7 linked regions of the Nothobranchius furzeri genome follow. The protein of the gene in region 7 purifies or fractionates together with the protein of the main gene of each other region. This does not show direct contact. Links are inferred from orthologs where the notes say so. Each region holds a gene or a part of one and is shown on either strand. Other genes may lie near its edges.

Evidence for each region.
Region 1: the proteins of serine/threonine-protein phosphatase 2A catalytic subunit beta isoform (region 7) and strip1 purify together in Homo sapiens (affinity purification with mass spectrometry; 6 studies listed by BioGRID and IntAct, counting the BioPlex papers as one, with this or other methods). This does not show direct contact. The link is inferred for Nothobranchius furzeri from reciprocal best matches to the Homo sapiens genes PPP2CB and STRIP1.
Region 2: the proteins of serine/threonine-protein phosphatase 2A catalytic subunit beta isoform (region 7) and ppp2r3b purify together in Homo sapiens (affinity purification with mass spectrometry; 3 studies listed by BioGRID and IntAct, counting the BioPlex papers as one, with this or other methods). This does not show direct contact. The link is inferred for Nothobranchius furzeri from reciprocal best matches to the Homo sapiens genes PPP2CB and PPP2R3B.
Region 3: the proteins of serine/threonine-protein phosphatase 2A catalytic subunit beta isoform (region 7) and slmapa purify together in Homo sapiens (affinity purification with mass spectrometry; 3 studies listed by BioGRID and IntAct, counting the BioPlex papers as one, with this or other methods). This does not show direct contact. The link is inferred for Nothobranchius furzeri from reciprocal best matches to the Homo sapiens genes PPP2CB and SLMAP.
Region 4: the proteins of serine/threonine-protein phosphatase 2A catalytic subunit beta isoform (region 7) and striatin purify together in Homo sapiens (affinity purification with mass spectrometry; 5 studies listed by BioGRID and IntAct, counting the BioPlex papers as one, with this or other methods). This does not show direct contact. The link is inferred for Nothobranchius furzeri from reciprocal best matches to the Homo sapiens genes PPP2CB and STRN.
Region 5: the proteins of serine/threonine-protein phosphatase 2A catalytic subunit beta isoform (region 7) and ppp2r5ca purify together in Homo sapiens (affinity purification with mass spectrometry; 3 studies listed by BioGRID and IntAct, counting the BioPlex papers as one, with this or other methods). This does not show direct contact. The link is inferred for Nothobranchius furzeri from reciprocal best matches to the Homo sapiens genes PPP2CB and PPP2R5C.
Region 6: the proteins of serine/threonine-protein phosphatase 2A catalytic subunit beta isoform (region 7) and cct8 purify together in Homo sapiens (affinity purification with mass spectrometry; 4 studies listed by BioGRID and IntAct, with this or other methods). This does not show direct contact. The link is inferred for Nothobranchius furzeri from reciprocal best matches to the Homo sapiens genes PPP2CB and CCT8.

What each region holds. Positions count from the first base shown.
Region 1 is NC_091743.1:46,742,398-46,745,897, reverse strand, and holds part of strip1 (striatin-interacting protein 1 homolog), read right to left. Parts: coding exon 3,472-3,500; intron 2,804-3,471; coding exon 2,621-2,803; intron 2,367-2,620; coding exon 2,146-2,366; intron 1-2,145. UniProt on the Homo sapiens protein: Plays a role in the regulation of cell morphology and cytoskeletal organization. Required in the cortical actin filament dynamics and cell shape. Part of the striatin-interacting phosphatase and kinase (STRIPAK) complexes.
Region 2 is NC_091754.1:29,703,229-29,707,442, forward strand, and holds the start of ppp2r3b (serine/threonine-protein phosphatase 2A regulatory subunit B'' subunit beta), read left to right. Parts: upstream 1-1,414; 5' UTR 1,415-1,560; coding exon 1,561-1,621; intron 1,622-1,895; coding exon 1,896-2,278; intron 2,279-4,214. UniProt on the Homo sapiens protein: The B regulatory subunit might modulate substrate selectivity and catalytic activity, and might also direct the localization of the catalytic enzyme to a particular subcellular compartment.
Region 3 is NC_091743.1:68,934,241-68,937,740, forward strand, and holds part of slmapa (sarcolemma associated protein a), read left to right. Parts: intron 1-1,250; coding exon 1,251-1,310; intron 1,311-1,432; coding exon 1,433-1,507; intron 1,508-3,500. UniProt on the Homo sapiens protein: Associates with the striatin-interacting phosphatase and kinase (STRIPAK) core complex, forming the extended (SIKE1:SLMAP)STRIPAK complex.
Region 4 is NC_091752.1:1,673,599-1,676,494, reverse strand, and holds the end of striatin, read left to right. Parts: intron 1-1,717; coding exon 1,718-1,906; intron 1,907-2,006; coding exon 2,007-2,176; 3' UTR 2,177-2,396; downstream 2,397-2,896. UniProt on the Homo sapiens protein: Calmodulin-binding scaffolding protein which is the center of the striatin-interacting phosphatase and kinase (STRIPAK) complexes.
Region 5 is NC_091758.1:28,651,073-28,654,572, forward strand, and holds part of ppp2r5ca (serine/threonine-protein phosphatase 2A 56 kDa regulatory subunit gamma isoform), read right to left. Parts: intron 2,119-3,500; coding exon 2,008-2,118; intron 1,924-2,007; coding exon 1,831-1,923; intron 1,716-1,830; coding exon 1,585-1,715; intron 1,501-1,584; coding exon 1,441-1,500; intron 931-1,440; coding exon 822-930; intron 588-821; coding exon 534-587; intron 428-533; coding exon 257-427; intron 1-256.
Region 6 is NC_091750.1:65,571,857-65,574,457, reverse strand, and holds part of cct8 (T-complex protein 1 subunit theta), read right to left. Parts: intron 1,787-2,601; coding exon 1,608-1,786; intron 628-1,607; coding exon 561-627; intron 484-560; coding exon 396-483; intron 300-395; coding exon 184-299; intron 92-183; coding exon 20-91; intron 1-19. UniProt on the Homo sapiens protein: Component of the chaperonin-containing T-complex (TRiC), a molecular chaperone complex that assists the folding of actin, tubulin and other proteins upon ATP hydrolysis.
Region 7 is NC_091750.1:36,852,041-36,855,540, reverse strand, and holds part of serine/threonine-protein phosphatase 2A catalytic subunit beta isoform, read right to left. Parts: intron 3,205-3,500; coding exon 3,034-3,204; intron 1-3,033.

The sequences.
Region 1 (3,500 bases), on a different chromosome or scaffold from region 7:
CTTCCATGTCCAAGTCGAGGAGATCTGAGTTCACATCACCTCCAGCCTCGTCATCACCGGCATCAAGCAGCCCGCTGTCCACCAGCCCCTCGAACAGAGGAGGTAGCGGGGGCTCCTCTTCCATCATATCCGCCCAGCTAGTGGAGGCTCGTGGCTGATGGTTGTCACCTTTATCAACAGGCGTGCCCGAGCAGAGGCCTGGGTCCCGGCCGTTAGCCACTGCCACTCTCAGCCTCCTTTCCCTTATCTTCTCCGGCATGGAGGAGCAGTGAGGGCATGTCTGCGGGTTAGCCAGCGATGCCTGGGCATGAGCAGCACCCATGCAAGCTATGCACATAGGATGAGGGTCCCTGCCTGAAATAGAAGCCCCACATGATGCCGGGCACAGGCGGGATGCAGCCTCTTTAGCCTTCGGTTCCGACCCGTCCGTTGGGATAGGGGTGGAAGCCATAGCTGACAACCTGACTAGTCATGACATGTTAGTCTGAAAAAGCGTTAGTAAGCTAGTTAGCAGGTGTAAGTCTGCAACTAAAGCTATATTTTGTATGTAGCGCAACTCGTTGCGACACGTTAGCGGCACCAAAGTAGCTCATTAGCAAATAAATGCTAAATAAGCACAGGACAAGCTCGCCTCAACGCGTTCGCTTGAGCCACACTCGCTAATACCACTCCGTCAATGACAACAGAGTAGCCGTAGGGGAAGTTCGCCGTGACGCGTTGACTGTTCCTAGTGAAGTGTGACAAGTGACTTAAGCTGGGCGTAGCACTCAGCTTCAGCTCAAACTGTACGACTTCCTCGCAGGGCAGATCTCACGAGTCATGTGCTCACACTGTACGACCCAGTTCTCGGATGCGATCCGACTGCTCACACTGTACGTCTGGTAGCAACACGTCGGCCCTAAAAATATGCTAAAAATAGCAGTTTTTACTCAACACGTCATACTTTTTTGTCTTGTCTTGCCTGTTGTCCTTCGGGAGAGCTGCAGGAGGACACACAGGGATTTATGGGGGTTGGATGAGGAAAACGAAATAAAGAAAGTAAATCTGTGTTTTGTGATCAGTTTAATTTGACATGAACACGACAAACACGCTTTCTTGACAATCTTTGTGAGTAAAAAAACGTGTAGAAATAAAAATGAACAACGTGTGTTATTAGGGAAATAGCGGGCGAGCGGTGTTGATGCATGATTGCGCATGCGCCGTGAGCGGTTCTGATACTTTTTGGGTCGCAGCTGCTCACAGCGCCGCTTCAACAGTGCGATAACCTCACGAGGGACGAGCAAAATATTAAACATGCCAGAAGTTTGTGCGACCTCACGATTGCTGATCGGTAGCTGGTCACGTGGTGTTAATCGCCTCTCGTACACGACGCTCGGCGCAAAACTCGCCCCGATCTCGTGGATTCTCGCACGAGTGGAAAATCGGCTCAAAAAAAGTGAAAAAGTCGCACAGTGTACGCCCGGCCTTAGACGCACTTACTCAGCTCAAATCCAGACTGCGTTCGGCGACTAATCCTGAGGGGACGCCTCGGAACAGTTAAGCAGCTAAACAAAGATGGCCTGAAAATCGCTGAGGGAGCAAAGTGTAGTTCCTCACGGGAAGAAAGCGAGAATGAGTTTGAGGGGTAGGTTGGCCGTGTATATACTGGGTGGGCGGAGCCTGGGCACGGCGCAGGGACAGACGTGATGTCATTGGAGCTTCCATAGTTGGTCACGCCAGGGCGATTCCCATAATGAAACACCGAACGAAGTTAGAAAAAGAACCGATATTTGCCAATACCGATATACTGACATTAATGCTTCTAAAATCAGCAGATTTTGTATAAAATGAAAATTATTAAAGCTGAAGTTACGTTATTACGTACACACCCCATACACATTTACGTTTCTGAGATGATTTCATTTACTGTTTACATGACTTAAGTATTACACATCCCCCCACCCCCCACCCCACCCTCTGAAACAGGCAAACAAATGGAGACAAGATGGAAAAAATATTGGTTGTTCATATCCGCCCGGTTTTATTTATCAAACCGATACAGATATGTTAAAAAACGACGAACATCAGCCGGTACCGATATTGATGCCGACATATTGTCCATCCCTAGTTAAATCTGCAGGTTTGTGGGGTGAGACTGAGACGTACCTGACTTTGGGAGCCCACGGAAGACCTTTAGGGAAGGACATCCTCTCTGATGGTGGGTGGGGAATGGGTGGAGGCATCACCTCGTCTCTTTCTATAGGAAAAGTCTCCGGCTCTAAAGAGTTGTCATTGTCATCGTTGTCATCCTCGTCGTCGCGAGAGTCGTCGGCCTTGTAGGGATCCTTTTCATTGAAAGCGTCCAGGTTGTCCTGTTTGATCAGAGCCTGGAACGAGTTCAGATATGCATCATTACACTCAGACTGGAGCCCAGCTGCAGCATGACAGGAGGAAAAACACTGAACTACCACAAAGAGCCTGAAAAATGGGTCTAAACGGTTCATTTGAGAAAACTTAATAAACGCAGTAGTGATAACAATATTAAACAGAGCAAAACACCAGTAAACAGCTCATCCTCCTCTTACTTCAAAGTGGTTTTCTGTGACCTGGAATATTTAAACGCAGCAGCAGTGTCGAGTACCTTGTGTTCCCGCCGGGCCCGCTTCTGTTGCTGTTCAATCAGATCGGACGCAGAAGCGGGAGGAGATGCTGCCCTCATGCTGCGAATGACTCGAATGCTGTCCTCCGGGAGAGGAGGAAGGCCCAGCTCCTCACGCTTGCAGACCTTAATGCCCTGAAGCTGCTCAAACCCTCCAAGAGTGAACTGAAAGAAAAAAGTGCTTCTTTGTGGATCCACTAGACTTTGTTTAACCCTAACAGGTTCCTTTAATAAAAGCTACATTGGAGGCTCTTTGCACAAAAACATTACTTTGATCAAAAGATGCAATTAAAATAATATTTTTCAAAAGTAAAATTTTTAACACAAATTCCATCCTTAGCTTCAGTCCTCACCAAACAAAGGAAAATATTTATGTGTTTGAGATTTAGCCCCTTTGGTGCCATGTTTTTTTTTAAAGAAAAATCAACATTGAAAAAAAATAAAATAAAATTTAATAGTTCCTTGTGCGTTATGTCATGAGGACTTGTTTTTTTTGGGGGGGGGAGGGGGGGGTTGTCAGAGCTTTGGAGAGTCACAAATGGGCATAAAAATAATTTTTGTTTACCCTTTATTTTGTGTGGAGTGTCAGATATTCAGAAAAACTCACATTCAGGTCTCTACGCACAAGAATATAGATTAAGTGAAATAAAATATATTTATGGCAACATTTAGCTTTGTTAGAAAAATGTCGTTTGAATGAGTCAGTGACACAAAAAAATGTCAAGGGACCTCATCATCATCACAGCCAAAGTTAATGAAAATGACTAACGCCTGCACAGAAAATGCACTTAATTCTGAGGGTGAACTTAAGTGTCCTTATGTTCCTTTCTTACCAAGATGCTCTTCCACAGCAGCAGAAGGA
Region 2 (4,214 bases), on a different chromosome or scaffold from region 7:
AATGTCAAACTGATGAGACCTACTGCAGTTTTCTCATATTTGAATACCATACAGTGTAGATTAATCTGAAAAACACAACTAAACCAGAACATTTTCAACTTTTCTCACTTATTAAAGCAAAGTGTTTATCATCTACTTCACATCTACTTCAATATTGCATTGCTGACAGCAGTAAAGGAGAGCTGCACACATGAACTCTTTACTAACACTTTCCTACGCTAACCAGCTGTGCCCCTGTGGTTTCATCCTCAGACGAAACCTTTGAAACGTCCTTCAAGGCATAAAAAAAGAAAACATGCACACCGCTTTGGGTAAAATCCTATTTGTACACTATAATTACACTTTGAAAAGTTGCAAAGTTTAAAGTTTCTAGACCTTCACTTTTTCTCTCCTCATTTCGGGTATTGATTTTGCTCTAAAACGCATGTTAGGCCAGTTGTTACACAGAACAAAGAGATTTCTCATTACACGTTGTGCCTCAGACAACTTTGAATGCTTCAGATTGGATTTACCCGCGTTATCAAGGGACAGATAAGGGAAAACGCAGTCAATAATTTTCACAACTATAGAACCACTGTTAATCTTAACAAGAAGGCCAGAGGCACTGTGAATGTGCTTGTTAACAACAAGGCAGTGGTGGAGTGATGGGTGTCTCTAATGTATTTAATGATGGAGATAAATAAAAGAAAAACATCTAAAACTGTCAAATTTGGTCAAATAAATACAAAGCAGAGCTAACCTCTTTCTCAAACAGCCCAATTTAGCTTTAAATGAAATAAAGAATGCATCATGCTGTGATGTGAGGTATAAAGTTCTAATAAAAACAAGTATTTACAGCTGCATATGTCATTGCCAAGTTGGACAGATTAGTTTGGATCCAATTGTGGTGCTGCTTGCAGTGTAATTACCTAGCAAAACTGTGTTTACAGAAACAAACCGTTATTAAATTGTTGGTTTTGTTAGCAGCGTTAAAAATATTTCCAAGGGAAACTGTTTTTGTACCATTAAAATCTGGTTCTTTTATCATATTTATCATATCATATTTATTTCTGATATAGAGTTGGACGTATTTGATTTTTTTTCTGTTTTACCTTTATATCTTCAGAGTTTAACATTCATGGTCGTGTAAATCAGTCTAAGAATGTGCAATCACACACACACACACATTCAGATTTTATGAAAGAAAATCTATAAGAAATGCTTTCAGTCAAAATATTATAAAGTCCTGGACAAAACATTGTAGCTGGAATCTTGTTTTAGGGCTTTTGGTGAGATTTTCACACACTGAATTAACAAAAAATGTGTTTAAATTGCACTTAAAGTGTTTTGGAGGTGTCAATCTATCAAGTTAGCAGCAGTGAGACGCCAGTCTCCCTTTTCAGAAGAGCGTTTGCATATAATCTCGCGATAACACGACGCTGTCACCAAGGGGAACGGGATTTTAAAAAGTTGTCTGCTCTGTTTACAGTACTGAGATTCTCTGTCAGAAATCGACAATTTAATAAGAGATCTGATTTTGTTTATCCTACTAGTTCAAGGAGACATGCAGCAGCGTCGCATATGAAGGAACCACGATGTCATGAATTATCAGTGTTTGGCTCTGTCGTCCCCTCACAGCGAGGTTTGTAATAGTTTTATCACGAAGGCAACATTAGCTTGCCCATGCTAGCTAACAGTCGTAGTTCTAGTGATTTCAACAACAGCGTGTTTTTGCAGGGTGATGTGATGCTAAGTAATGAAATGTTAACTTTTAGTTATTTGCATCACAGTAACGTTAAAATGGCGGGTAAATAATCGCAGTAAAAGAAGTTTACGTAGCTAAAATTGATGGTTCGCGCTTAGATTCAATAGTGAGTGTTGACTGAAATGGCTAACTTTACTTTATTCCCATACAGGTGTCAACCTCAACGCAGTAGTAGTTAGCAAGATGCCGTCGCAACAACTACTCCAACCAGTTCTTAAACTAAAGGTGGACGAGTTGTTTCTGAACTGGCTGAGTGATCCTGAAACCCAGGCGGTCCTCAAGGATTATCTTGATTTAATCAAAAATGGACAGTATATTGACGTGGGCAGTGAAGCCCAGGACAAAAAGGCTTTGAGTTTCAATGAAAACAACAATGTGGCGTCCCAGAAGAACCGGGCAGAGAAAAAACCTGCTCCCATCGGTACCCCGTCCGCTACCCAGCCCAACAGTACGCTTCCCTCTCGCAGTAGCAGTAATACCAGAGTGACTGGACCCAATAGCAGGGTACTAAGGAGGTCTGTCAGCACACAAAAGGTAAATGATTCAAGCATGAGTTCTAAAAAATACATATATAATTTTTCTAACATGTTTTAGTCATACATAATTTTTTTGTTATTAAAACTGTAATTTAGAATAAATGGTTTGACTGGCTTTAAAGTTATCCTACCACAGGGATCTCATATAAGGGTGCTCATATCAACATCACGTAAATGTTTTCACATGATACTTGTAAATAAGAGCTTGTGACATAAAATATATGAAAAATCATGTTTTTTTAGTAGCATGTAGTTATATTTTTGACAAGTTAAAGAAAAATGCTGAGCATTTAATCAGTGATTCCAGACATCTTCGGTAAAAATACAATATTACTGCCTAATAGTTCTTTAATAATGACCAATTCTTTAGAATATTACAGCTCTTTAGAAGTTTCACTACCATTTAAACAAAGGGATAACTTTAGTAATGATGAACAGTCTGACATCACAACTCAAAAGCTCGTCCTGGGCATTAACAGCTGAAATTAGTATATTAAAATCTTCCTAGCTGGAGTTTTTCTGGGATTTTTTTTATTTTATTTTATTTATATTTTTTTGTGAACCAATGAATAGTTTCTGTGTGTGTGATGGTACAAGTTACATTGCAAAACATGCATTCTTGAGGGGGGAAGCTCCCACATTTGTGAGTACAGCACACCAGCTGTATCTTTTTGGGATCTATTTCCTCCCCTGGCTGGCCACAAGAGGCTGCTGAGGACCTTACAGGGATGATGCCATTAAGAGGTTCCCAGAACTGTCAAGTGTATGTGTCTGTAGGCCTTGAATAGGTATTAATTAAATATGTTCCTAGTGTTCAAACCTCACCCACAAAGAAATGTGGTATGAGAGGGGGGAGTGTCTGTGCCAAGCCTTTTTCTGGCACTCGTGATGTTTGTAGGTTGTGTAATAAATCTCTCATTTGTAACAAAACAGCCCAGAGGTAGATAGTTTAGGTTATAATAGAAATGTATAGCGTTGTGAAAAACTATTTGCCCCCTTCCTGATTTCTTATTCTTTTGCATGTTTTGTCACACAAAATATTTCTGATCATCAAACACATTTAACCATTAGTCAAAGATAACACAAGTAAACACAAAATGCAGCTTTGAAATGGTGGTTTTTATTATTTAGGGAGAGAACAAAATCCAAACCTACATTGCCCTGTGTGAAAAAGCAATTGCCCCCCTTGTTAAAATATAACCCAACTGTGGTGTTTCACACCTGAGTTCTATTTCTGTAGCCACCCCCAAGCTTGATTACTGCCACAGCTGTTTCAATTAAGAAATCACTTAAATATGAGCTGCCTGACACAGCGAAGTAGACCAAAAGCACCTGAAAGGCTAGACATCATGCCAAGATCCAGAGAAATTCAAGAACTTTTGAGAACCAAAGTCAGTGAGATCTATCAGTCTGGTAAAGGTTATAAAGCCATTTCTAAAAATTTGGGACTCCAGCGAACCACAGCGGGAGCCATTATCCACAAATGGCAACAACATGGAACAGTGGTGAACCTTCCCAGGAGTGGGCGGCCGGCCAAAATTACCCCAAGAGCGCAGAGACCACTCATGCGAGAGGTCACTAAAGACCCCAGGACAACTTCTAAAGAACTGTAGGCCTCACTTGCCTCAATTAAGGTCATTGTTCACGACTCCACCATGACAAAGAGACTGGGCAAAAATGGTCTGCATGGCAGATTTCCAAGACGTAAAACACTGTTAAGCAAAAAGAACATTAGGGCTCATCTCAATTAGGGCTGCTCGATTATGGCAAAAATAATAATCACGATTATGGTGACTGAAATTGAGATCACGATTATTTAGGACGATTTTTCAATTTATGTTGATTTTATTTGTTTTTATTCAGTCATAAAATTGCTCAGGGCACAATCAGGACAAAAATAAGAAACAAGATGATCACTAAAATAACTCCTGATT
Region 3 (3,500 bases), on a different chromosome or scaffold from region 7:
TTTCTAGGCGCAGCCAATGTGTGGAGGGCATCCATTTTGGTGGCCTGAGGATCAGTTCTCTGCTTTTTGCGGATGATGTGGTCTTGTTGGCTTCATCAGAACATGATCTTCAGCTTTCGCTGGAGCGGTTCGCAGCCAAGTGTGAAGCAGCTGGGATGAGAATCAGCTCCTCTAAATCTGAGACCATGGTCTTGGTTCAGAAAAGGGTAGAATGCCTTCTCCAGGTCAGGGATGAGGTCCTGCCCCAAGTGGAGGATTTTAAGTATCTCGGGGTCTTGTTCACGAGTGAGGGAAAACTGGAGCGTGAGATCGATAGGCGGATTGGTGCTGCATCTGCAGTGATGCGGGCGTTGTACCGGTCTGTTGTGGTGAAAAGAGAGCTGAGTCAGAAGGCAAAGCTCTCGATTTACCGGTCGATCTACGTTCCTACCCTCACCTATGGTCATGAGCTTTGGGTAGTGACCGAAAGAACGAGATCGTGGATACAAGCGGCTGAAATGAGTTTTCTCCGCAGAGTGGCTGGGCTCACCTTCGAGATGGGGTGAGAAGCTCTGTCATTCGGGAGGGGCTCGGAGTAGACCCGTTGCTCCTCCACATCGAGAGGAGCCAGGTGAGGTGGCTCGGGCATCTGGTCAGGATGCCTCCTGGACGCCTCCCTGGTGAGGTTTACTGGGCACGTCCAACCGGGAGGAGACCTAAAGGTAGACCCAGGACACGGGGGAGCGACTATGTCTCTCACCTGGCCAGGGAATACCTTGGGATTCCCCCAGAGGAGCTGGCCCAAGTGGCTGGGGAGAGGGAAGTCTGGGCCTCTCGCCTTGTCACCACTTTACTGAGCTCCAATATTTACCAATTGGTGTCATTTGTGTTTTAGTGTAAATATGAATCTGTGAACTGAGCGTTTAGGAGAAGATGGGCAAAAATGACATCAGTTAGACAATTAAAAATAGTATTGCTGCATTTTAGACTTTGATGTTTTGCTCATTTATAATCTCTAATCTGGTCTACCTGCAGGTGTTAATCTCATTGTTGATTTCATCAGTTGTCGATCCACAAGAGCTAATTAATCATTTCATAAACTCACCGCAGGTTTTTTTGGTTGTTTTTGTCATTTATTGACATCACAGTGATAATTGCTGATTTATTTTATCCTGATACTAACCTTCAACATTTCTGCATGAAATCATGAAAAAATAGCAAAGTATATTTAATGGGATAATTTTTATACTCTGATTTTTGTGTCTTTGCAGCTGTAAAGCAGCTGAAGGAGACTGTGAGCTCTTCAATACACAAACTGGCCAACTTTGATGGTGAGCGTTTTAATAAACCATAATTATTTAGGTAGAAATATCTTGTGTGAATACAAGAAACTTGTGTAAAATTGTTGGTTAAAACATAAAAACACATCTCTACTTTGTATTCATGATTGCAGAAGTTATGGACTCCCACCTGCAAAACAACCAAACTACAGAAGACAACATCCTGGCCAGTCCTGATCGACTAAAAGGTAAAAATTACAGAACTAAGAGAGTGGAAATTCTATCTTTTTGAAGGCGTTCACAAGGATTTGAGCTGATGGCTATATAGAGCACGAGCCATTCCAGGTTAAATTTCATCCATTTAAATTAACTCGTAGCTTAAAAAAATTCCCATTTGAAGCAAACGCTGTACCATTTAAACCAGCTGTCACACCAGAGCTGAGTGCCGAGAGATGTTCATTCCTGAAAGTTTTTCAATCCAGCATCAGGACTTTCTAGTTAATCGAATTTAAACTAAATATTCTGTAAATTATAGTTCTAATCTATCAGCAGGTCAAAGCTGAACAAGTCAGAAATCATGACCTGCCCTCTAAATCTGTGCATTTCTACAAAAAAAAAAAACTGAAAACAAAACTGCTGTTGGGGCGGCAGCGAGGAGGTGGAACAGGTCGTCCAGTAATCGGAGGATCACTGGTTTCAACAAGCCCAGTTTTATTTCTATAGCACATTTAAAACAGCACGGCAGCTGACCAAGTGCTGAACAATAAGAACAGAACGCATAAAAATAAAATACAAATCACAAAATTGACACGGCAAATCAATTAAAATAATAAATGTCCAAAAGCTTGACTAAAATTATGTGATTTCAGGGCTGCTTTAAACCGGGCTAACAAGAGGTCTGCCTCACATGAAGTGGAAGTTCATCCAAAGTTTTGGGACGGCAAATGAGAAAGCTCACTTCCCCTCTGGTCTTACAGGAGTACTTGGTCAGGGGGCACGTATGGGATGAGCAGCTCAGACAGATACGAGGGGCCAAATCGTTAGTAAACAAACATTAGAACCATAAACTGAATCTGGTACCATACCATACCACCTTTATTTATATAGCACTTTAAAAACACAGCCATACGGCTGACCAAAGTGCTGAACTGTCGCACAATAACAGAGATAGAAAACATAAAACAGTACTATGAAATATGTAACGGAATTGAAGTGATGTAACTATCTAAAGTTGTATTTTAATACACTGTTAGTAGTTCACTTTTTATAAACAGAAGAGTAGGCTGTTTTTATCATCAGGGAGTTTAATTAAACACTCTGTATTGACTTTGAGACAAGAAAAGAGAGAGAGATGGGATCGTTTGAGAATCTTTAATTTCTGAATTATAAATTCTAAACAATCTACCAGGACTACTCTGTGATGGATGAGAATGGATTCGGATGTTGTGTTGGTGCGTGTGTGTGTGTGTGTGTCTGGTTCAGATTCTCTAGGCTGACGTCAAAGAATCTGGTCGTCTTTGTTATGACTAGATATCACGAGGCTTATAAAGTGATGACATGAGCCGCTATTTTGCCGTGTACGTACCCAGTGGGGGTCTCCCAGGTAGATCAGGAAATGCCAGGTCTGGAGACCTCGGATGTACGATGGAGCTGTCGGTGCAGCGATCACAACGTTTCAAAGCCCGTCTGGAGGGTCGACCCCGGTACCGTTCGTCGGCGTCAGCAGGTGCTCTTATTTTGAAAGGACGTCGTCTGGTTGTTAAACGACGAAAATCTCCCGCTTCACAGTTCTTAGTTTAAAGAAGAAAACACATCTGGCCAGGCTGCGCTTTTCTTTAGGATGATGGTGAATAGAACTGAAGTCAAAATGGAACTGACTTAAAATGGCGTTGCCTTGTTTTATATCTCTGAATTGTTGATAAGTTGAACCGTCACCTTATCGTGGTGGAGGAGTTTGAGTGCCCTAATGATCCTAGGAGCTATGTTGCCTGGGGCACTTAGTGCCCCTGGTAGGGTCTCCCATGACAAATTGGTCTTAGGTGAAGGGTGAGACAAAGAACGGTTCGAAGGATCTTTCATGGCGGTGAAAACGAAGAGTCGGAGTACCCGGCCCGGAGGGTTACCGGGGTCCCACCCTGGAGCCAGGCCTGGGGTTGGGGCCCGTGAGCGAGCGCCTGGTGGCCGGGCTTTCGCCCATGGGGCCCGGCCGGGCCCAGCCCGAACCGGATACATGGGCTCGTC
Region 4 (2,896 bases), on a different chromosome or scaffold from region 7:
AAATGTTTCAACTTTCTGGGATCGCGTCGCTGGGTCGCCTGTGCACGACACGCGCACGAGCGCAAAAATTCACACGCACGTTTTTCGTATTTCGCTTGGTAGGAGAGAGACCCGTTTAGATGATTAAACGATCACCATGGTTACCACTCTCTCCAATGCAATATGCCATTGTTTAGTTTTCCTTTGATTCTTTCAAAATAATTGAAGTTACCAAATACTTTTTACTCCACTAAATTATTTATGTACGACCGAACACATACCCTGCGTAGGTTTGCATGAAATCTAACGTGGAAAATGAAAGCAAACATGTCAGTTATTTTTTTAAAACCAAATCAGCTGAGAGTCAGAAAACAGGAGCGATGCTTCTGGTCTTTACGTCCCCTGACAGCTCATGTGGGATTGTGACGAACAAACACCTTTTGGAGCGGCTCGTGAAGACTTCATGTTGTATAAAAAGCGAGTTAGGTTCAAGCTAAAGGGCGCAGAGATGCCCCCCCCCCCCACACACACACACTTTGTCCCACCATCACGTAGTCTTTGTGAAAACACGTGATGGCGTTACAGACTCACCACTTATAAACGACCAAAGCCTCCCTGGTGCTGCCTCAGCTCTGCAGCAAAGTAACGCCGAGTTTCTTGAAGAGGCCGGAGTTGCGGGAAAGTTTTGCTAATCCTTCCTCGAGTGTCGGCTGGTTAGGATCAACGACCACCAGCTTCCTGTCGTCCAACCCAGGATGGAATTGTGTAAGGTGCTGTCGCGAGTCGGTGGTGTTGCTGTGGTATTTGATTTTAGTTTTACACACTTTACTTTAATCCTCCTGATGAGTACATCTCACGCTCAGTGGCTAAAGCTAATAAGAAGCTTCCATGTTAGCGGTTTTGTTTTTTCCGCTGGTCCGTCCCTCTAAAGCAGGGGTGTCAAATACGCGGCCCGAGGGCCGAATCCGGCCCGCAAGCGGGTTAAATCCGGCCCGCGAGATGGTTGTGTAAACTTTGTTTTCATACTTTACAATGTAGAGTGAAAATAAACGTATCTTTGTGAGCAAGTTTCCTCTGTAATGAGTATAAATAAAACAAAGCTGCGCTCAAGGCTCACACAAGAACTTGAATCACATCCTGAAGTTGGCCGCCACTCAGGATGTGACTTCTGATGTTGATGTGCTGGTGAAAGCTAAAAGATGTTAAGTAAAATGAGTCAAATATACTTTAAGTGCTGCATGAAACTGATCTAGCCATGTGATCTGTAAGCTCTTTGAATCACTAAGGAATGTTTTTATTTATTTATTGTTTTTTTTATTTTTTTTCAAATTTTCAAGTACACTTCAGGTGTTGTACTTTTACTACACTGTCCTCAGGCTCCAGCCTTGTTTTATATTGATTGTATTAAAACAAAGAAAACAATCTGAAGTTTTTTTTTTTTATTTACCGGTCCGGCCCACTTGGGACCAGATTTCCCTCGATGTGGCCCCTGAGCTAAAATGAGTTTGACACCCCTGCTCTAAAGTGTCTGGGCGGCGTGAGTAACTTATGTTCCTATCGCGCTTCACGGCAGTTTTTTGGCGTTTATTTATAATTGATTATGAACGTTTATGAATCTATAATTGATCATAGATTAAGTGGTGAATCTGCTCACCTCTAGTGCATGGATATTAGCTTCTTATCACCGTAGGACCCATAACTGGTATTTGTGAATTTCTCTGTTTTGTTTTCAAACCAGGAACCCCTTGTCACATCAACAAAGTCCTCAGTCACCCCACTCTTCCAATCACCATCACAGCCCAGGAGGACAGGCACATCAAGTTCTTTGACAACAACAGCGGGAAGCTGGTTCACTCCATGGTGGCCCACCTGGACGCGGTCACCAGCTTGGCTGTGGATCCCAACGGGCTCTATCTCATGTCTGGAAGTGAGTATATGTCAAATTAATGTTGTCGTTATTAGAAGATAACAGATGACCGAACTGGGTCTGGCGGTTGACTTCTCACATCCCGTCCTCCTGTGAACAGGTCATGACTGCTCCATCCGCCTGTGGAACCTGGAGAGTAAAACCTGCATCCAGGAGTTCACGGCCCACAGGAAGAAGTTCGAGGAGTCGATCCACGATGTGGCGTTCCATCCGTCTAAATGCTACATTGCCAGCGCCGGGGCAGATGCTCTCGCCAAGGTGTTTGTATGACGTGGAGCTCCCGTGTGTTCCCCTCCTCCTCCCCACCATCACAGCTTCGCTCTCTGACTCAGTCTTTCAGGATCAGGGACCAGTAGAGACTCAGCGGGGGGGTGGGGGCGCTACCAGGCAGGGGTCCGGTCCCATCTCACTCAGCCCACTGGTCACCTCTCAGACTTCATAGCCTCCAAAAGGCTGGGACTCTCCTCCAAGAGGGTTGGCAGGAAGTCCAGTCGGGAGTAGAGCTGCTCTCTGGTCCCCTCCCTCCTCCACCCACCATCCAGGCAGGCCTGGGTGTGACTGGCCACAGAGCCCCTGCAGACTCAAACTTAACCCTCCTCTACAGAAAGGACAAGTGTTAGAGGAGTGGAGGAATGGGGTTCCACCCCTCGCCCCTCTTCCTGCTTATTCCAGCTCCTTCAGATCCTCATCCATAAAAAAAAAAACAAGTCCAGACCCTTTTCTCCAAGTCAGGTTGTGCGTCCGAACCGCCAGGTGCCGACCCAGAAGCCTCCCACGTCCTCTTCTCTGCCTCCCAGACGGACTCTGCTTGCTGACCTGCCTTTCTTTGTTCCTCTTTTTTTAAACCTAATATTGACAAATGTGCCTTTGCTTTAAAAAGGTCTTTAAAATGTTCTTTTAACAAGCTTTCTTTGTGAGGGGGTGTTGAAAACGAGGGAGGGAGGGGAGGAGAATCGGAGCGGGGGGTCACAATGTTGTCAGTTTTAACAT
Region 5 (3,500 bases), on a different chromosome or scaffold from region 7:
AAGCTCAACTTCTCTTTTAAAAATGGTTTGAATGTTTCTGGTGGCACCATCGACATATATATACACATTAATTCAAACAAGATAACGTGTCAGAGTGTCTCTTTCAATGCGTGCGTCTCTCACGACTAATCCCAATTTCTGTTCTTCATCGGGCGAACATTTGAATTGCATTTGATTTATTTGCATTAACTCAAACTGGATTAATCTAAGAAACTTTTACCATTTTTATTTTACATTATAAAAAGGTTTTTTTTACCTGGAAATGTGGGCTGGACACACACTTAGCCAGCTGTCTGAAGAGAGGTTCCTGAACTTTAACAAACTCTGATGGTTCGATGACATCCAAGATCTCCTCCAGCTCGTTGAGGAACATCACTTCCTTGGGACTGTGAGTCTTTGGCCAGTACTTTAGTAGAGCCATTACCACCTGATGGGAGGACAGGTAGTTGTTAATAACCGGTCAGAGAGGACGGGTGGTTGTTATTAACCATTAGGGAGGATAACAAGACGGGAACAACGCTTTGATGACATACCGGCTCAGTTAGAGTGCTGTCCTTTTCCAAAAACTGCACCACACAGTAGGCCAGCTGTAAAACAAACAAAAACAACATTTAAATCTGAAAACCAATTGAGGAAGCCAAATGCTTGAAGACTGAAATTTTTATTGCAGGCGGAGGCTAGCAGGTTCAGGCAAAACAGCGAATCTAGTCGTTTCTAAGTAAATTTCAGTGGTAAAGAGTTTACTGTGTACACCTTTCAGAATCTACGTCAGACACTAAAGATGCGGCTTTCCTCATTTAATTATAGGCTTAAGGACATACCTGTGGATGGTAGACACTGAGTGATTTGACTTTGTGCAGAGGCAATAAAACCTTCAACAGGAAAATCTTGTGCTCCTCCTTCAGTGGTAAGGCAAAACCATTGATTATGCTGCACAAAGAAACACAAAAAGAGCCATCAGGACATTTGACAACAGGAAGGGAATTAAGTTTGTTACCATTTGGGAACATTTTCTACAGAACATAAACAAAACAAGTTGATGGGATTGATTTTTCAAGTCTGAATAAGCATAGATCACAGATCTGACAGGGGTCTGCCGTTTTTCCCCTCGATCCACCAAAATAAAACTTGTATTCGGCTTTTTTCTCATATCTGAGAATTATGAGGAAAAAAATCTCAGAACTTTTGAGAAGTCGTAATTCTAGCATTTTTTTTTTCAATTTTCTGTAACAAATATAAACTATAACAGATTTGTGATTGTTAAAACAAACTCCATTTTGTTCCGGTTAAGATTTGAAACTTAAAAAAAAAAAAAAAAAAAAAAAAACATATAAAAATAATTTAAAAAAATTAAAGCATTTACAAAGAGTATGAATCTTTTTTATTAGCTCAGATGTAGAACATAAAAAACTGAATTACGGCCGTAGGTGTGCACTTTACCTTCCAAGTATTTCCAGTAGTTCGGCTATACCGTTATGGTGCTCCGTTTCATAGATAAACCTGTAAAAACAAAGAGCCTTGCTCAGTGGAACAAACTAAGATCTGTGTGTGTGTGTGTGAGTGGTGACAGAAGACAGCACTGACCTATAGAAAATGTTATTGATCTGTTTTCTGATGTACGCTCTCAGACCCAGAAACTTCCCATAGATCCGGTGGAGAGTCGTTTTCAGGAAGTCTCTCTCTCTTGGATCTTCACTGTCGAACAGTTCTAGGAGCTGAAATTTTAAAAAATGCATGTTTTACACTAAAAACATCACCAGCTCTGCTGCCTCTAAAGGGACTTATCTTGAACTGCATAAAAATAATAATGAGAATGTGATATTTTTGCACCTGCATAACAAATTTCTGGTCGATGTATTTCTTTGCTATATTGGGCTGGAAGTCCGGTGATTCTAAAAACCTAAGGAAAAATTCATAGACGAGCTGCAAAATGACAGAAAACCAGATGTTGGAAGGGATTTCAAAGTTTAAATGCACTGAAGAAGAACGGTAGTAGTATGGATGAACCTGGAGGTGAGGCCACGCAGCTTCAAGTGTTGGCTCATCCTCCTCAGGATCAAACTCTGCTCCTGTTGGGTTGGATGATGGAGGCAATGTCCTAAACATATTTACAGCAAACTGAAAGACAAGAAATAGAAAAGACACTATAAGTATTTTACGCCATTTATCACTGAACAATACCTACAACTATAAAAGGACAGAACAATGTTCAACCTGATGTTTGAGTTTTCTTTTACGTTGAACTTAACTTTGTCCTTACAACTGGCCTCCAAGCATTTGTCCCTCAATTATTTAAGAGTCTTGTGTTCCTGGTGTCTCCGTGTCAACTGACTCCCCCGTGGGCCGCTGGTTTCTCCTGGGCGGATCACGGGACAGTGCAGGTGGCCTACTAAAACACTAAAAGCCTTGTGTGGAAAAGAGGAAAAATGCTACAAGGTAGACGGAGCCACGCTGCTCTTCGCACCATTACAGCTATGAAGACAATGGAGCATCAATGTTGCAGTGAGAATTCTACATACAGGTTCAGTCTAATGACATCAGTATTAAGAAAATGTACATGTTTTCCTATTACACATCACTCCCCTCAGTATATATTTTATGAATTATTTGCATAGAAATTTATTAAAATCTATGTTAATGTTTCAGAATAAAGCTTGTGAAATATAAAGTGCATCATTCTGTCTGTACCTGGTAAAATTGTGTTTTTCTTTTTTGAAGGGATACTATGCAGCTTTTTCATATTTTAAAATCATTTTCTTGATTCAATATGTGTTAAAATGACCTTTAACAAGGCCCTTTATGGCCAGAACATCGCAATTGCAACTTCAGAGTTGCTGGTCCAGGCCTGCTGGTGGGGGAAGCTGACTTAGTAGAGCTTCATTCTGCTTTCAACATGTTTTCTGCATGTTTTAGATCATAAACACAGCTGATTTGTTTGATTTAGTGATGAACCACTCCTGTAGAAAATAATGAAGGCTAAAGGGACATTTCAGCTGATAGATTAAGGTAATTAAACAAACGAACCCACAGCGAGGAGAGAAGTTAAATTTTAGTTTGACCTCTGAATTAATAGTGGACACTAGGGGGTGCTAAAAGCAAGCAAAAATGCCAAGTGTGCCTTTAAATTAATACATAAACAAAAACATAAATAGAAAGAGAACTCAAATTTCCTCCAAACCCCCATGAGTAGATTTAACTATTTATGGTTTTATATGAATTAAATGCAATAACATCTATTTTGACGTTTCAAAATAAAGCTTGTGAACTTTTAAAATTCATCGTAAGCCTGAAATTTTCTAGTTATTTCACCTTTTTAAATTCATATATGAATACAGAAAGAAAAACAGAACTGAAATGTTCTACAAAAGCTTATGATTTGCCCTTTTTAATTGGATAACTATTGAAAAGACATATTTTTATGGGTGGAGTTCATTGTTGCATCTGATAAAAAAAATAAAATAAAAAAATAAACAGTTTTTAATAAGGTTAAAAACTAGTCA
Region 6 (2,601 bases), about 29 Mb from region 7:
ACCAAAGTCACAAACACACCTCTCCATATGAGCTGATCTGTTTGGCAAGCTCAATCTCAGTGGCTCCTGCTCCGGGTACTAGTCGTTTATCCTGGAGAGAAATGGTAAAACAGGAATTCAATTAGCTAAACGGACTAAACGAATATATCTGAAAACTCTGCAAAGGGATTAGCACCGACTTACCCTGACCAACACCTTGAAAGTGTTGACTCCATCATCGATAGCCCTCTCGATGTCATCCATCAGGTTGTCAGTAGAGCCTCTGATCACGATGGTGGAGATGGCTCCATCTTCTTTCTCTGTTTCAAAACAAAGCCAGACAAAGCATCACACTTGGGACTCGGCTGAAGCAGAAACAAACTTAAAATAAAAACAGAACAAATAACAAAACTTGCCATGTTTGAAGACCACCACCTGAGTGTCTCCCACTTCTGTTAAGTAAACACTGTCACAGTGACCCATCTCATCTGGAGTTGGAGCCGTCTAAGAATATATAACACCTCAAGGATTAATCTCATTACTTTTACACCCCTGATAACAGAAAAAATGACTTTACAAACCATTTTAGGCAGAGCTACAGCACCCACGGTCTTGCACAACCTTCTGAGGTCCCACTTGGTGTTTAGCCTGTAGATAAAGGAAGGTTTCAGGTTTCAAAGCAGACAAGAACGATCATTTAAATCAAGAAGAACTCCCTTAGGGCTCATGACGAACTACAACCCTGAAGAGACAGGAGCTCGGGTGAGCCCCAAAACAGCCTCACTGAACCTTACTGCCAAAGCAAATTGTGAAGAGTCTTCATTTATTTTAATACATTTGCTGTGTGAGTCAATCTCTATGGGAAAAAAGCTCTGGCGCTTCTGTTTCAGGAAGTGGAAGGAAGTTATTCGGAAAAGTGTGTGTGTGTGTGTGTGTGTGTGTGTGTGTGTGTGTGGGGGTCAGATATGGAGTCTTACTCATTAATATTCGTGATATTTGAACACCTCACCTCTGATTGGATAACAGCAATGCAACTCTTTCACTGCCTTCATTCACTTTGCAATGCTGATGTTTAATCTCTACAGATAACACAAGCCCGAAGGAGTTCCACTGTGTTATGGAGTTGCTAATGCCAACGGTTAGCTTCTACTAGCTGAAACGCACTCTGCTCTCTCCTGGACACGAAAACAACAGCCTTCCTTGCTGTGAGCCAAGATGGGTGAGTCAGTGAACGCTAATTTGTGACGTGGAGCTGTCAGGCGTCTTCGAACCAGAGCTTTTCCTCGTGTCTTCTATTGGCGGATAATCCAGGAGATGGGGATAGAAGACTATTTTCACGTTCAAACTCAGATTGGCCGATCAAATTTAAAAAAGAACAAGTAATAGAGGTTTCTCAGTGAGCTTGTTCTTTGAAAAGTCAAATGTTCCGAAAAAGGTTTCCAATAAATGAATAAACTGAAGTTTTGTGGTGGAGATTGAGGATAATACGTACAAGTAGAGGGCCTTGAAAATAAAAGGTTGAAAAATGCTAATGTACCACATGTAAATGATTATCTGATTAACTGAAGGATAACTTGGTAGAGTACTAGAGAATAACGTTTTATCACTGGAGCTGCTGCTGATCTTACCGGACCACCATGAGCTTGTACTTGTTGGCGTAGTGCAGCGCCATGTCCGCCACTTTGCCCCCGGTTACCACCACGTTGGCACCAGCTTCTTTGATGGCCTTCACCTGGGCCTCCATCATGTCCTCCTCTCCCTTACTGAAGTTCATCAGTTCTTGTGCATTATTTATCAACACTGTACCCTGCAGAAAAAAAACCACACTTCTGTCAAGCACCAAGATGAGACCATAGCATTCTAGCCTTATTGTTGCAGACAATAAATTGTATTTTACATAATGTTAACCCTCTGGGGTCCATGGACGCGTATCCGCGTCTTTTGAACAGGTCTGATTTGGGAAGCTGTAGCAGCAAGACTCCGCCTCCCCGAGTTTCGGTTTCAATTCAGCTTTAAAAAGGAGATTATAAACTACACCCCAGATTTTAAATTTTGTTAATAGGCAACGTAAAAGCGGAGTTACACTAAACTAAACGACCTATTTTTAGACAATCTGACAACTTGTCAAAACAGCAGTGAAGTGATCCGTGAGAGGGAACGTGCTTGTGAACATAAAAAACCCACAAAAACACGAGATCCTTTTGCTGTTGGTGGAAGTCTCACATATTCAATCGATAAAAAGTACCATTATGTAGCGGAGAGGGAGAGGAAGGCTGCACGAGTAACGAGATGTGCGCAAAAAGGAGCCGCTTCGCGGGGAAAGGAGTGGCGCGAACGAAGTAACAACAATTAGATATTGACGATAAACTTTAGCCTAGTGAACTAGACCAAATTCTTGCTTTGCAAAGTTTGGTCTAGGCATGCTCCATTGGAACCTCAGCAGCTCCTACCAGGACTCTGGCTAGCCAATCACAGCTCTCTAGAGGGGTTTCAAACACATAAAGAGCTGTGATTAGTCCATAATGGTGGGCCAATCATAGTGCTCTATCTGCTTAGTGAACAAATCACAGAGCTTTATTCGCTTTGTGGGCCAATCAGGGCACTCTATATGCCTGGTGGGTG
Region 7 (3,500 bases):
ATCCGGGTACGTGTGGACAGAGTTTGTTTGTAAAACGCGGTGGTGTGGATGCAAGTTTTTGGAGGGGCGGATATTCGTTTTTAAAAAACCCCGGCTACGTGTGGACTAGGCCTCAGTGACTTTGACGCTATTTCTAGTAGGGCTGTCACGGTAACCGCAAAAATGAAATATCGCAGTATGAAGAAACCCACCGCGATTACTGAACTTGGTTCAACTCAATGATGCATGTTGAGAAGGATGGCTGCACTGGTATCAAAACGAAACGTTACTTCGCTCCTTTGGGAGCACTTTGGTTTTCAGTACGTCAGCTGCTGCGCAGCCAGAGTCCTTGGCCGAGACAGAGCTGCCACCAGCGGCAAAAAAGTAATAATAAACGCTCGGAGACCCACTGAAGTCCCGGACAAGCACTGCTTCTGCAACCGTCCCGAAGAGAGTTTGAGGCGAGCTGGAGCTCACTCGCTACCTGCAGGAGGAATGCATCCACCCTAAAGAAACCCCCCTGACATGGTGGAGCAACAACCGGGAGAGATTCCCTTTGCTCGCCAGAGTCGCACGCAAGTACGTGTGCGTTAGTGCAACGAGCGCACCATCCGAGAGGGTTTTCAATGTTGCTGGAAATGTTGCCCCCACTCTCAGATCCTCTCTCAAACCGTATATGGTTAACATGCTGGTTTTCCTTGTGGGTAACAAGGACGTGACCGAGCTATAAAGCACCGTCATTTGTGTGTGTGAAAGTGAAATGATAGTGCCCCGCGCCCGGTACATGTAATTTTTTATGCTTGATTTTAAACAACTAAACAAAATGGGGACTTGTTTCTTATTTGTTAGATGCTGCAGCCAAATTTGCATTTAAAAGTTTAACCTTGTCCTGAATTTTGTTGTTTTTAAGTTCAGTCGGACTGTCGGAGAAACAAACGTTACTGCGATCTGTGTTGTTACTGCCCTTTGATCTGCATTCGGTAAAGTGTTATAAAAGAAGGCACGGCAGTTTTTAACCTTTTTTAAATGTGTAAACATTATGTTTAGATAGTACTGCAATAAAAAAAAGTGCTGCAATAATATCGCACACCGCAATATTAAGCCACCCTGAATCACCGCAGGGGGAATTCCTCAACCGCAACAGCCCTAATTTCTAGCAGCTTTTCAGACTCCCTTCTTGACTTTTTAAATCTTAAAAGTACCTAGCGAACACCTCAGAAACATCTCTGGTAACCCTTAGCTACTTTCTGGATAACTGTCGTTGACATTTCCTGCAGGTTAGCTAAACACTCCGCCTGTGCTCCGGACTGTTCTTCAGGACATTAGGAAAGAGAATGATGTGGTGATGTGTCGGTCGCTAAAGAAACGGCTCTCAGAGTCGGCTTCCTGTTGGATTAACCAGAGTGAGTGACACACACCGCACCTGCCGACTCCTGGGCCACTAAAAATGGCTAAATGTGCGCGTGCAGCTTGCCTACTGATTGCTGTGAGACCGGGTTGGGGGGTGCAGCTGTGGTTGGGACAATTATTACATTAACTGATGGACCTGTAAATAAATAGTTTATAAATAAGGTAGAATAAGTTCCTCACGCTGATAACTAATAACTAATCTCTGAGGACACGGTGCTAGTGCACGCTCCTACAGCACCTTGACACGACTCAATAAATGTTATGCAACATTTTGCGAACATCAATTTATTTGCATTTATTTGTTATAAATGCCACTGTATAATTCTTGCTGTCAGTATTTGCAAGATATTGCAGATGTGGGAAAATGTCATCAGGCAGTAATCGTTGTTAAATTCATAATTACTCTCGGAGAGAGACCAACTCTTATCTGCCCCTGGGAGCCCCGTAATGCATAGCGTCATTTCAACATGGGGGTGTCCGCGACACGGTTTATATGCAGGTAGCGGCGCTGCGGCTGCTTTATATAGCGACTCGTTGCGTTCTCCCTCAACCCAAATCCTCGGATCACGCATTTTAGCTGAAACGCTAACGTTAGCTTGCCTTGCGTTGACTGTAGAGTTGTGGGCGATGGTCACGCAGATGTGTCATGAGATTTGAAGCGTTGCTGCCTTTCACAGACACTTTTTCTGCACGTGCTGCAAACAGGATAGCCGTCTTCTATCAACTGTCCCTCGGCATTCTTCAGATATCCAAAAGATGCCCGTACTTCCCACTTTGTCTTCTTTGAGGGATAATAAATGTCCTGAGTGCTGCCGTCTCCTCCTTTGGACATTATTTCAGCTTTAGCTTCAAGAAAGTTTTGGTTGTAAACAACAAAGTGCGCATGTGCCGCCGGCAACTTCAGCAGATGATACGGTGGCTGGTAAGGGTCACCGCGCCTACACCGCAGCCACGGTAACCCACCGAGATAATATGTGTTTTAAAAACAAGACGGTTATTATTGTCAACTTTTTTTTTTTTTACCAGGGTGTACCGCTACACCGGTTACCGTGACAACCCTATTACCGATACAGTAAAGCTGGACGGTAAACCCATCAACACACCGACAGCAGCATCCAACACAAACATCAGACCCACAAGCGTCTGATGTTGGCGTTGGTGACCGTCTGGGTGAAAAACTCTGAACTTTGCAGCACTGAACTGTAGATTTACTGAATAAAACAGATTTTATCTGCATGTCAGAAATAACATCGACCCCGACGGTTTACAAAGTGGAGCCCGTAACTCGGCCCACCTGGGACCACCTCACGAGAAACAGATTTAAATGCAGCAACAGGCCTCCTTTTGGCTTTAGGTTGTTTTCATGTTGACCCAAAACCTCAGAGACGCCTCTCAAAGAAAATCAGACTAACGAGGATTATTTTTAGAAGATTTGGAGTGGTGGGAAGAACGAGTTCAGACATTTGTTCATCAGATCTGTTACCCTCACAGCTTTAAAGCGTTTCTGAACATTAAATCTGATCAAAAACAGGAGAAAAACAAACGTCTACGAACTTAGAAAATATGAAAGTTTTTTTCTGACGATTAAAAACTGTTTAGTTTCTGGTCAAACGGCAGAATGTGGCTCATTAACCTGTGATTTACCTTTAACGTGACCAGCAGAGTGACCGTCTCCACAGAGTAGTAGCCTCTGTCCACATAGTCTCCCATGAACAGGTAGTTGGTGTCGGGGGACTTCCCACCAATCTTAAACAGCTCCATCAGGTCGTGGAACTGACCGTGGACATCCCCACACACCGTCACCGGGCATCTCACCTGGAGGGGGTGTCACACCATCACAGGGTCACTCCAACATCCACCACACGGCAGTTAACTCAGCATGAATACAGAACGCTGCTGATGATCTCTGTAGAAGGCCTAAACTACCTTAATTACTGTTTCTGTGCTTTTTGCTGCACATCACCTCTTGTGTGGTGGTGAGCTCCACCAGATCAGTTATTGGACCCCCGATCCTGTTCCAGTTCACTGATTTGGAAGAAAAATCGATTCACTTATCCAAGAGTCTCCGACTTGATACGTTGACCTTTTAAGTTTCGCATTACAACCCAAAA